Linked DNA regions of Oryzias latipes. The protein of the gene in region 2 purifies or fractionates together with the protein of the main gene of each other region. This does not show direct contact. Links are inferred from orthologs where the notes say so. Each region holds a gene or a part of one and is shown on either strand. Other genes may lie near its edges.

What was found. Proteins that work in one complex are often made in the same cells at the same time.
Region 1: the proteins of cdkn1b (region 2) and spdya purify together in Homo sapiens (affinity purification with western blotting; 3 studies listed by BioGRID). This does not show direct contact. The link is inferred for Oryzias latipes from reciprocal best matches to the Homo sapiens genes CDKN1B and SPDYA.
Region 3: the proteins of cdkn1b (region 2) and cdk6 purify together in Homo sapiens (affinity purification with western blotting; 8 studies listed by BioGRID and IntAct, counting the BioPlex papers as one, with this or other methods). This does not show direct contact. The link is inferred for Oryzias latipes from reciprocal best matches to the Homo sapiens genes CDKN1B and CDK6.

The regions. Positions count from the first base shown.
Region 1 is NC_019880.2:27,229,358-27,232,157, reverse strand, and holds part of spdya (speedy protein A), read right to left. Parts: intron 844-2,800; coding exon 758-843; intron 663-757; coding exon 491-662; intron 420-490; coding exon 71-419; intron 1-70. UniProt on the Homo sapiens protein: Regulates the G1/S phase transition of the cell cycle by binding and activating CDK1 and CDK2.
Region 2 is NC_019864.2:11,436,236-11,440,434, reverse strand, and holds the start of cdkn1b (cyclin-dependent kinase inhibitor 1B), read right to left. Parts: upstream 2,819-4,199; 5' UTR 2,498-2,818; coding exon 2,071-2,497; intron 1,869-2,070; coding exon 1,753-1,868; 3' UTR 1,740-1,752; intron 950-1,739; 3' UTR 1-949. Other genes in the region: yars2 (tyrosine--tRNA ligase, mitochondrial), read right to left, coding at 3,976-4,135. UniProt on the Homo sapiens protein: Important regulator of cell cycle progression. Inhibits the kinase activity of CDK2 bound to cyclin A, but has little inhibitory activity on CDK2 bound to SPDYA. Involved in G1 arrest. Potent inhibitor of cyclin E- and cyclin A-CDK2 complexes.
Region 3 is NC_019869.2:9,947,202-9,950,722, forward strand, and holds part of cdk6 (cyclin-dependent kinase 6), read right to left. Parts: intron 483-3,521; coding exon 315-482; intron 1-314. UniProt on the Homo sapiens protein: Serine/threonine-protein kinase involved in the control of the cell cycle and differentiation; promotes G1/S transition. Phosphorylates pRB/RB1 and NPM1.

The DNA of each region.
Region 1 (2,800 bases), on a different chromosome or scaffold from region 2:
TTTACCACAAGTGCTCCTAATGACTGACAGAGACATGGATGCCTGTGTCTGTAGTTTTACTGAGACCTACTGGCCATCTCCTCAGGGCAGAAGCGCTGCGATGGCTGTGCCTGGCTCTTTGACTTCACCGTTTTCCTCTGGGGGGCAGCAACTCGAGGGGGGGTGACCTCCAAACTAGCAGCAGTCGTAAATGAGTGGGATTTTTCCAGCGTCTGCCTTGGCGAGCTTCTGGAGACAGACAGGGAGACGGCCCTGTGATGCAACCTGCCGCCATCGTTGCAGAGGCCACAGGAGGGCGGGGAGGCGGAGGGCCCCCGTGGAAAAGGCGAGCCTGGATCGCTGTACTGCCGCTGGGCACCACTGTGGTGATCAGACCGTGTTCGCTGCCACACAGAATGGGAAGACACAACAGCCATCACCTGGAGGGCAGAATCAGAGAGGCATCAAACACTTCTCAGGGGGGCTCCTGGACGCTTTCTTTGTGGCGTACCTCCTCACAGCAGCGCCGGCTGACAGCGGCTCGGTACTGGATGCGAGCCCACAGCACGTCTCGCTGCTGGAGGAAGCGGGGAAACTGTTTCCTCCAGCCTTTGCCCAGAGCCCAGGGAAAGATTTCATACTTGCTCTGCTCTTCATCCTCCTCCATGGTGTTTGCGAGATAACTGCAGAGGAACAGAAGCTCCGTTTAAACACTTCACTTCTGCCAGAAATGAACTAATGATCAAACAAAAAATGGATCATTTCCAACTGAACTTACAGTGCGATGAAAAAATTCCTTCTGTTGTATTCAGCAATAGTGAAGTGAGCTCGTTTGAAGTACACAAAGGTCATGGCTAAAAGGTACTGGAAGAAAGAAAACAAGTCCATTCAAATGTTTTTGCCTTTCAAGTCCCACTGGTCATTCTTGATCTATTGTAAACCTGTTCCCATTAATTATGAGTTTACCATTTTCAGCCAGCTCAGCTGCAGAAAACGACGTACATGGATGTATTTGTCTGCATCAGAATGGAGCGGAGCAGGAAGCTTGTGGCTCGCCCAGACTATTTCCTGTCACATCTACAATCTTTCAAACGGCATTTTTTCCTCTGCTCCTGACTCAGGATTTGACAATTTGGTTAAAACTTTTGTTTTTTTTAAAGTAGTTAAAGCGTCAACAGAAAACCTTTTTCTGTGAGTGACAACTGTGGAAAAATAAAACTCACTTGACAGTTTTCATATGAATGCAATTAAAAACTGATAATAATCAAAGAGGAGAAGTGAGCTCTCATTTGTAACTTCTGCTTAAAAATAATCTTACAGTATTAGCAGCACTATTAGGCACTTAAAAGCCGAATCTCTTTTTTTTTTTTTTTTTTTAAATCGAGCCTTTTGTGTGCACCGAGTTTCAAAACCTGTAAAAATGTTCTTGTGCCAATTTGGGAAGCGCCTGTTTGACCAGTTCTTGCTGACAGGAGTAGCGATCGCACAGATGAGCGCACTGTGCGTGTTTTGATGGACCCAGGTGGGTCACAAACAATGATTGTGGCGCATGGCACACCTGAATCCAAATTCATATCTGGAATCTTCCCCCATGGCAGTTTGTCCTAAAAGTGGTAGCCGTGCTCCAAGGAAACGATGTGTGTGGAGGTAAAGTTGTGCCACATCTAGAGGGTCCGGCAGAAACCCACTTCAGTGCGACCAAAACAAAGATTGGGACGGCATTTCAGAGCACAAGCTGTCCCCGTCGTGTCATTTTACACGGCCAGTCCCAAAAATACGCGGATGATTGGTCTGACAGCATCTGTTCGTTTAGGAGATGATCATGCTGAAATGGACGGTTTTCTCCCGCTCAGGCGACATTACAGTGGAGCCCTGATGTGTCTGACTTTGAGCGCTCCAGGAAGTCCATGCTCCCCACAGGCACATGGCCGCCTGCCGCGCTCTGCACAAAGATCCAGTCAAACTGTACACAAAGGTGTTTCTAGTATGTTTGCTGCATGCGAGTCTGTGCAAGTCACTCAGATTCAACCCTAAGGATGAGTGTTTGATCATACTCTGAGGTCCCTTCAGGCCTAAAAAGACTCATTCCCGGTGCCACGGCAGGAACAGCAGGATAGAGTGGTGGGAGCGATGGATGACAGACGGATGGCAGCTCCTCCATTTGTGAATGGACATATGGGCTAAAGTCTGAGCTGTAGCTGTTGTATGAGCTTCTACTAAACCTGCCATCATTGCTGAAGAGCCACTTGGCAGCAAACAGAGTCCAACAACGATGAGAGGGAACCTGGCAAGTTTGATTCCAAAATGTTGCGGTTATTTCATTCAGACACTTTAATAGGTTTGTTGGAAAAGATTGATAAAAAGAAATAATGTGAGTGGATTGTTAAAGATTGGAATAAAGTTCAACTAAACTCGTTTTGCCTCGTTTACCTTTTTTTGCACCTTATATTACAGCGCACCTTATGGTGCCGAAAACACAGCCATTTCAAGGGGCCTATACCATGCTATACTTAAGCCTTTTATAGTAAAAATATCCATGTATATATGATCAAAAATTACCTTTGGCAGACTGAAGAATGCATTATTTCTGTGAATTCTTTTCCAACCGGGACGTAAGACGACAGAGTCACCGGCTTTTGCTCCTTGTCATGACAACCTAGAGCCGCCCTCAGCAGCGTTTCTCCCACCAAAACAAAAATCTGAACTTTTGCAAAGATGATGTTCATATTGTGTTTATACAGTGGTGGACAAAATTGTTGGTACCCGTCAGTTAAAGAAAGAAAGTCCACAATGCTTACTGAAATGACTTAAAACGTTCAAA
Region 2 (4,199 bases):
AGGAGAAACATTTAACTTAGGTTTGACAGCCTGGAAACATGTGCATGGTCTTTGTCCTTCAAAAAAAAAATGAGTGCCTCACAACTCTGGGGATCGAAACATTTACAAAATAAAAGCATCAGAACTCCAATTTTAAAATAAATATTAAAAAAAAAAAAAGGAAAATAAAAGGTACTTGCTGAAATTTTTAATTTCATCCTGTGCCATTTCCTGTGGATCTTTAAAAAAAAGAAAAAAGAAAAAGTGGCCTCAACACAAAAAAGGGAAGAAAAGAAAAACACGTTCATTAGGCAGATGAGCTACATTTGTACCATTCCTTGCTGTTGAGTTAGGAAGATGACGGCATAAAGGCACACTGTTGAGAAACTAAAACCATGATTTTCTTTCTTTTTTTTTAAATGTAGCATTTATGGACTGGGTCAACACCACAGTGCCTTTCAAAAATATTAATAATAATAATAAAATGCAAACAGAACAGCATTTTGGAAACATGTTTCAAACCGAACACTTCAAGTCAAATCAAAATTCACACCTCTTTTACACAAAGGATTAAAAAAAAAAAAAAATCAATGTTTTTATGTGCTACATAGAAAACATATATATTTATTTATTAAATTATTTACACACAGGTAGTTAAAAAAAGAAAAAAATCAAACCTAATTGCACGCTGCTACATGGACTGCTGTTAGAGGCAGTAACATTTCAATGAGTGCCACAAACTTTAGTGTTTCTCTTCAGTGCTTCAACAGCGTCCTCCCCCGTCCTCAGGAGAGCTGATATGTTTCTGATGCTGTGTAGATCCTCGTCCAAAAAAAGGAAAGAATAATTAAAAAAAAAAAAAAAAGATCAACGCAGTCTTAAAAACAAAAAAACAAAAAAAAACACATGCACGCATACGCAAACACACTCGTACAGAGAAAAAAAAACTGGGAGGGGCACATCTTGAGCTCTGTTGGAGATCAGAACAAAAGACAAAAACAAAGAGGTTGAAAGGTTAGTACTTTTTTTTCTTTTAGGAGATGCAACTACTACTGCTAAAGTATTGACAGTGTTCTGAGGTATGACTGAAAAAAAAGAAGAAACTAGTCATTTCCAAAAACAAAACAAAACTATCAACTCAAATAAAGCTCGGCTGCATACCATTTACAAAAACGTGCAATTTTTTCAGTTCTGTTAACTTTTATTTTTACTAAGAAGAGACGAAAATGAACATGGGATTTTTTTTTACTTAAAGATAAATCGAAGTCAAAGTTCCGCTAATTTAACCTTGACTTTTTTTGCCACAACCTTTAAAGGTTCACACCTGACAGCTTAGAGCAGGTTTCTGTGCTCCTTCTCTCTTGTGGGTCATAGTAGACCTGCAGAACTCTCGTACTCTCCTCTGCAGCAGGGAGTGTACATGTCTGCGTGTGTTTCTGCGCGCGCGCGCTCAGAGACCTGCCCCTTCCCGTCCGCGCGGAGGCCACTGGCTGCTGACGTGTTACTACTACACTGTTGTTCAGCTTGTTGTTTACAGTTCAGCAGACGAACATCGGCCGCAAGGAGGAAAAAACTTTTTTTTTTAAAAATTCTTTATTGGCGTGTCATATAAATCCTCTTGGTTTAATAAACAGACTTCACTTTTTTGCGCTAGAATGCGTCAATACAAATAAAAAAAAAAATGATGTAAAATTTAATATCTTTTTTTTTTTTTAAATTCGAGGTTAACAGTTTTTTTTAAATTGAAGTGGTTCGCTCACCGTGTCGCCGTGCTCACGTTGGTCTCTTGGGGCTGGTCTTTCTGGGTGTGTGTTCTGCAGACTGGCTCAGGCTCGGACAGCTAACCTCCTCCGGGCTGGTGTGAGACTTCTTACTTGGGGCCGAAGGGTCTGCAAAAATAAATAAATGAGTAAAATAAACTATATATTACAGAGAGAAAAAAATGGTCGGGGTGCTCAATGTTCTCTGGGATTTTACGGCAGTTTCCCCCGCTTTACGACCCCCTCATCCCGCATACCAGTACCGCGAGCACAAAGCTGCCGCCCGGCGATCTGTTACACAGCAACGGGTCGTTTGATGCTAATGTCATACCGTGACACGCAGGTCTCTTCCTCAGCCCGCCGCACTGCTCCGTGCACTCCATCTGAGCGTCAGAGCGGCTGGGAACTGTCCCGACACAGTCATGATTCCCGTTTAGATCCACATTGTTATTCCCGGGGCAAACGCCTCGTTCTCGCCGCGGCAGGCGGGTGTAGAAACTCGGCAGGTCTCTGGCGTTCACCAGCTCCCACTCCAGCCTGCTGTTGGGCAGCGGTGTGTCAGTCGCGAAGTCGAAGCCCCACTTGGCGGAGGCAGCCTCTTCAAACTCCCGCAAATGTACATTTAAATCCCTCTTTAACTCTTCGTGGTCCACCGAGCCGAAGAGGCTCCTGCAGGCTGACGGCTTCGGGTGTTCCGACACCCGGGGCTCCGTCCTCTCCAAAGTCGGGCTCCCGCTCGAAAGTCGAACGTTAGACATGGTTAAGCCCCCCGGAAAAAAGGTAAAAATTTCAAGCAGCCGGGAGCGTCCAGTTTTCAGGCGAAAAACACACCTCAAGAAGAAAAAAGAAAAGAAAAAAAAGGTATGTCCTCCTAGTCACGGGGAAAGATCCAAAACAGGCGTGAAACGACCATGCGCACGTCGAGCTGGAGGCAAACACGGCTGCGATTTCCTGAGCCGAAGACGGCTTACGCCAATCATCCAAACGACGGGAGAACGAACCAAAGCTCGCTGTCAACGTCGCTCCGTACAGCGGGAAGCGGAGGCGAACCTCTCGGTACCCAATATGGCGATTGAGACATGTAGTGGGGATTGAGAGGGGAGGTTGACTTTGGAGGGAGGGGGAGGAGGGTTACACATGATTGACATACGGAGCCATTTAAAACCCAAGAAGCGCACTCATTGGATGGAGCTCTTTAGACCCGCCCACTTTATTTAAGGTAGACCGAATAATTGCATAAGGCATGCTGTTCTAAACATATTACTTACCTTTTTTATTTTTTTTACAAAGTAAATAAGTTCACACATTTGATGTAACTTAATGTACAAGTTTCAAAAAGTAAAATGGATTAAACATTTTAAGACATCTAAATTTGAAGAAAAAAATTGGATTGCAACCATACAAATAGTGCCAATATGTTCTAAAACACACATATTCAGTATTTATTTTAAACATTTTGGATGTACAGTAAAATTAATAAATACAATTAAAATGGAGTAAAATCCAAAACAAAACTGAAATTGTTGCATCATATTCTTTCAATGGACACTAATAAATGAACCTGTGGTCCTAAATGGAGATAAAGTCCAGTAAGAGGACCCCAAACTGAGCTGATTTAGTAAAAGCCTAATAAACATTTTAATTCTAAAAAATTTTCTTACCGTAACAAAATCTGTACATATATCGGAATTATTGACTGAAAATATTTATATATGAAGTAATAACATATAAAGATGAAAATAAATTTCTGCTATCCTAAAGTCAACTGTTTTTTTCCAGATTTATCATAAAGCTTCTTAGTTTTTACTTTTTATTCACATGCAAAAAAAAATAAACACCCCTAAATGAGAATAGAGGGCAGCTTGATGCTTAAATTGAAAGTGGCGCAGTCGTCTTTAAATAGAACCAAAAGCCTTTTGACAGAAATGATGCAATCTAATTTAGCTGTGAGCAATTATTTACTCAAAGGGTCAGAGCAGGATAGGAGGTGCAGCAGTGTTCACTCAACCACTGTCAAGCCAACAGCGCCCCCTAGAGCTTCATCTAACACACAACTCTGGAAGCACAAATCTTTTAATACCTTTAAATACTAAAGTTGTCTGTACGATTACATTTTTAACAAAGGCCACATGGACTTACAGAGTCACCATTATGAGTCCGCTACAGTCTGCTTTAGTCGCCTACCTTGCCTGTAAGTCCTTTACGGCGTACAGGCACTGCGGTGGGCGGTGCAGCCTCAAAGACCGAGCCACTTGATGATGTAGTAGTTCCTCTTGCCCACTCTGAGCAGAGTGAGTCCGTTGGACAGGACGTGGAGTTTGGGGACGAGAACCTGCTCCGGTTTGTCCGCCCGTGTGTGGTTGATCCACACGGCTCCGTCTGAAACCATCTGGTACCTGCAAGCGAACACGACGGCTCAGTCAGGATCCAAATCCCATTCATTTCAAGTGTTTTCAACCA
Region 3 (3,521 bases), on a different chromosome or scaffold from region 2:
CAACTGATGCCCCGTAAGTGCCCAGACAAAACACTGGATGCTTTTTATCCAATTCTCAGGAGAAGGGAGAAAAGTTCAAGCCATGTGTTTTGTGCATTAGTTAAAAATGGGGAAAACAGTTTTAGAACATATGAGAAAATGAAAGAAAAAGCTCTAGAATAAGCTGGGAGGTTTTCAGGAGATGCTTAGTGGACAGGTGCCATGACACTTAGTTGGCCAAAGCTCCACATGGCATCAGGGTCAGGGAATAGTTCCCCATCAAAGACAGAGAGGCTAAACTCTGTGCCAATAGGGTTTGATAGGCACTAACTCACCACAGATGTCAGAGCCATCTGGAAGCTGTAGATGCGAGCTAGCCCAAAGTCCGCCAGTTTGATCTGTCCTCCGCTAGTGACCAGGATGTTTTGGGGCTTCAGGTCACGGTGAACCACACGGTGCGAGTGCAGGAAGTCCAGTCCCTGGAGCAGCTGGTACATCATATCCTAAAAAAAAAACAGGTTTTAAGAAAGAAATTACAAACTGAATTTTTTAACTTGGTGTGTTTGACCTGATGAATATGATTCAGTAAAACTAACAACTTCAATTAATGCATCTGCACAGAAAGTTACCAAACAAAAAGTAACAACATACAAATGCAACAAGACATTGAAGTATTGAGGGAGTCAACAAGAAGAAGCCTATCTCTTTTCTTGTCGACTGTGGCAGATGTTTGATAACTGACTATAACACACACACACACATACACACACAAATGACAGCGGCAGAGTTAGGCCCCTGCTTTGTGCGAGAACAGATCTGTGTTGGCGAGCAGCTGTCCTGCTATAGTTAACTGTTTCTTGCTTGCTTTTCAGGCCCGTCAGCAGTGACTTCAAGTAGCACTGCATCTACGACAAACTAGCAAACTATTGTGAGCAGGAAAAAGCTATTTCCAAACCAGCTTAGACTTGTTCTTTTGAAACTCAAACAGGTCTTACACCTGTAAACAAATAGTTCAAGGGATAGTGGTAAGGCAGTTTGTTACCTCAACTGTCATCCAGGCAACTTAATGCATCCAGTTCATGTTTTTGCATGTAAGAATTAGGTAGGGTAGGTAACATAGAGCAAGGAAAAACAATGGTAACTAAAATTACAAAGACACATGTTTTTTTTTAAGGAAACACATATCTTAAACAAACAGCTCCAAAACAGTCTATCAAGACCCCACAAGTGAAGAGGACCAGAGTCCACAGCTCTATTAAGTGGCCAACCAGCTGGTGTGCGAGTCAATGAGGCCTGTGAATTCAAGCAGAAAACATTAGCAAATGGCGTGGGGCCTGGTTGTGTGCTAGCCATAGAAAAGACTCCCCACACGGTTTTGTGGGGATGATGAGCGATGTGGCACAAACGCTCTGTACATTTGGTTATAAAGTAAAACGGGTATATTTGCGTACATGTGTACCCCTGCGTAAGGGTGCATCACTGAGTGAAAGCATGCAAAAGCATGTGGGTGCCCTCTGACCATAGGCAGGATGCATAAACAGTCCTTCCTTTCTACATCTCCATTCAGCCATGACCTATGAAGAATGGCAGCAGACACACAGGGCCATAGGACAGAGGCAGGCAGTTAGCCATTTTTGTGTGTGTTTGTGTGTGTGTAGCATGGGGGGGGCTGACACAATAGTATTCCTCCACCCATCAGTTCCTCTCAGCTTTAAATAGTCATTTCACCATGTTTCCTTTCAACAGCATTTCCTAGTAAACACTAATTATCTCACGTGTGACTCTTGGACACAAACAATCTTGGCCTTCTTAGCCTTTTCTATAGCATCAATTACAAACACGAAAAGTCATAAACATTTCAGCATTTTTCCAGAACTAAGCTCAACAAAGGCAATTGAGGCAGTGTCTAATAAATAGATAGAAATGGCAAGATTTACAGTATGTGAGTACAAGGTTGCCTATATGATTTGCACGAGTCAAAAGTTCCAAATTGAAGTTGGAAGGTTTTTTTTCCAAAGGTGCTTTAAACAACTTGTGGAGAAAAGAAAAACCAAACAAAAAGGCAACATATCTAACCCTGAAAAAATGGGAGAAAACAGACTGACTACAAGAGGCAGTCAAAACATGGCTTTCTGAGCTCAGCTCCTTTTTTGATGCTAATGTACCAGAGGCAGCCATATTGTTTATTGTAGTATGGAACAATATAGGACATCTGCCGGTTAGCGTTAGTGTAATTCCCTCCCCATGCTTCATTAACCTCCCCCCTTCGTGGGCCCACGGAGTGGAGCTGTGGAAGTATGGAGGATAGTGGTGAATAGTGGTGGAGGAGGAACCCAAGCACTGGCCCGCCTGAGTAGCACTAAGACTGGGGCAAGCAGGCTGCTTGATGTCCTTCCAGCTCATTTGATCCCTGGAGGGGGGCTTCTTTCATCAATGACCATGTGGTGGGTCTTGAATCAGAGTGGGTGGTGAAGGGTGGAGGGTTGAAGTATTTATCATGGGTAAGGGTTCAGATGGGCCACGGTGGGGTGTCTGTCACTGGTTGGTTTTAGTATGGACAGCAGGTCTTTGGGCGGTAAGGTAATTTAGCTGAGGGTGAATCGTTTTATGGTTCTTATGGGGTTTGGGATGAAGACAATGTTGATGCCTTTTTCAGATGAGCGATGGTTTAAGTTAGACCTGCTGTCATAAAGGTGGAGCTGAGAGCACAGACAGTTGCTCGGGGATAATGGGGTCACACTTGGGTCACTGTGTGTCCTAGAAATAACAGGGAAAGGTGCCTATGATGTGTTGTCACTGCTTGTCCTTTTGTCCCCTTGAGGCTCCAGCTGGTCGGATGTTAAGAGAAAGCCTAAGGAGGAGGGGTGGTCTAATGGGGCATCATGATTGAAAGAGGAGCTTATCCAACTGTTAAACAGTGCTGAAAGCCTCATGTCTCAAACTTGGCTAAAGTTGGGAAGAATTCTATTAACCCTTCAAATCTGACATAGATAAACCGTGACAATTTAACTATCTTCTTCCTTCTTTTTTTCTCGAGATTTTGTTCCAATGATTAGACAATAATTTTTAAACACAGTTTCATAGAATCTAAAACTTTCATCAAGCAAGAAACAGGATAACCATTAGACAGATACTGTAGCGTCCCCAACACTAAAAAATTTTAATGGTAACGAGTTGCTGCCAAAAATAGTTCCACGATGAATTGGATATTGCTTCAAATCAGTAGGGATGCACAATGTCGGTTTTAGGCTTTTAGAGTCCCACTTCGATCATGCAGATGTATCGAAATGGAGCGGAGCAGACCTCTTTTTGTAGTTTTTAGTAAAGAACTACAAACAGCGTTTTTTCATTTGCTCCTGATTCACCACAATTTAAATATAGAAATACTCAGAAATTATTTCAGTATTAATTTTCTTTATCTCCTCCATCATGAGAAAAATGTTACAAAAACATGTTAAAAACACGCAAAACACATTTTTAACGGAAGTGGGTCTTTAAGGAAACATGACAAGTGACATTGAAAGTGCAAGCAATTTCAAATT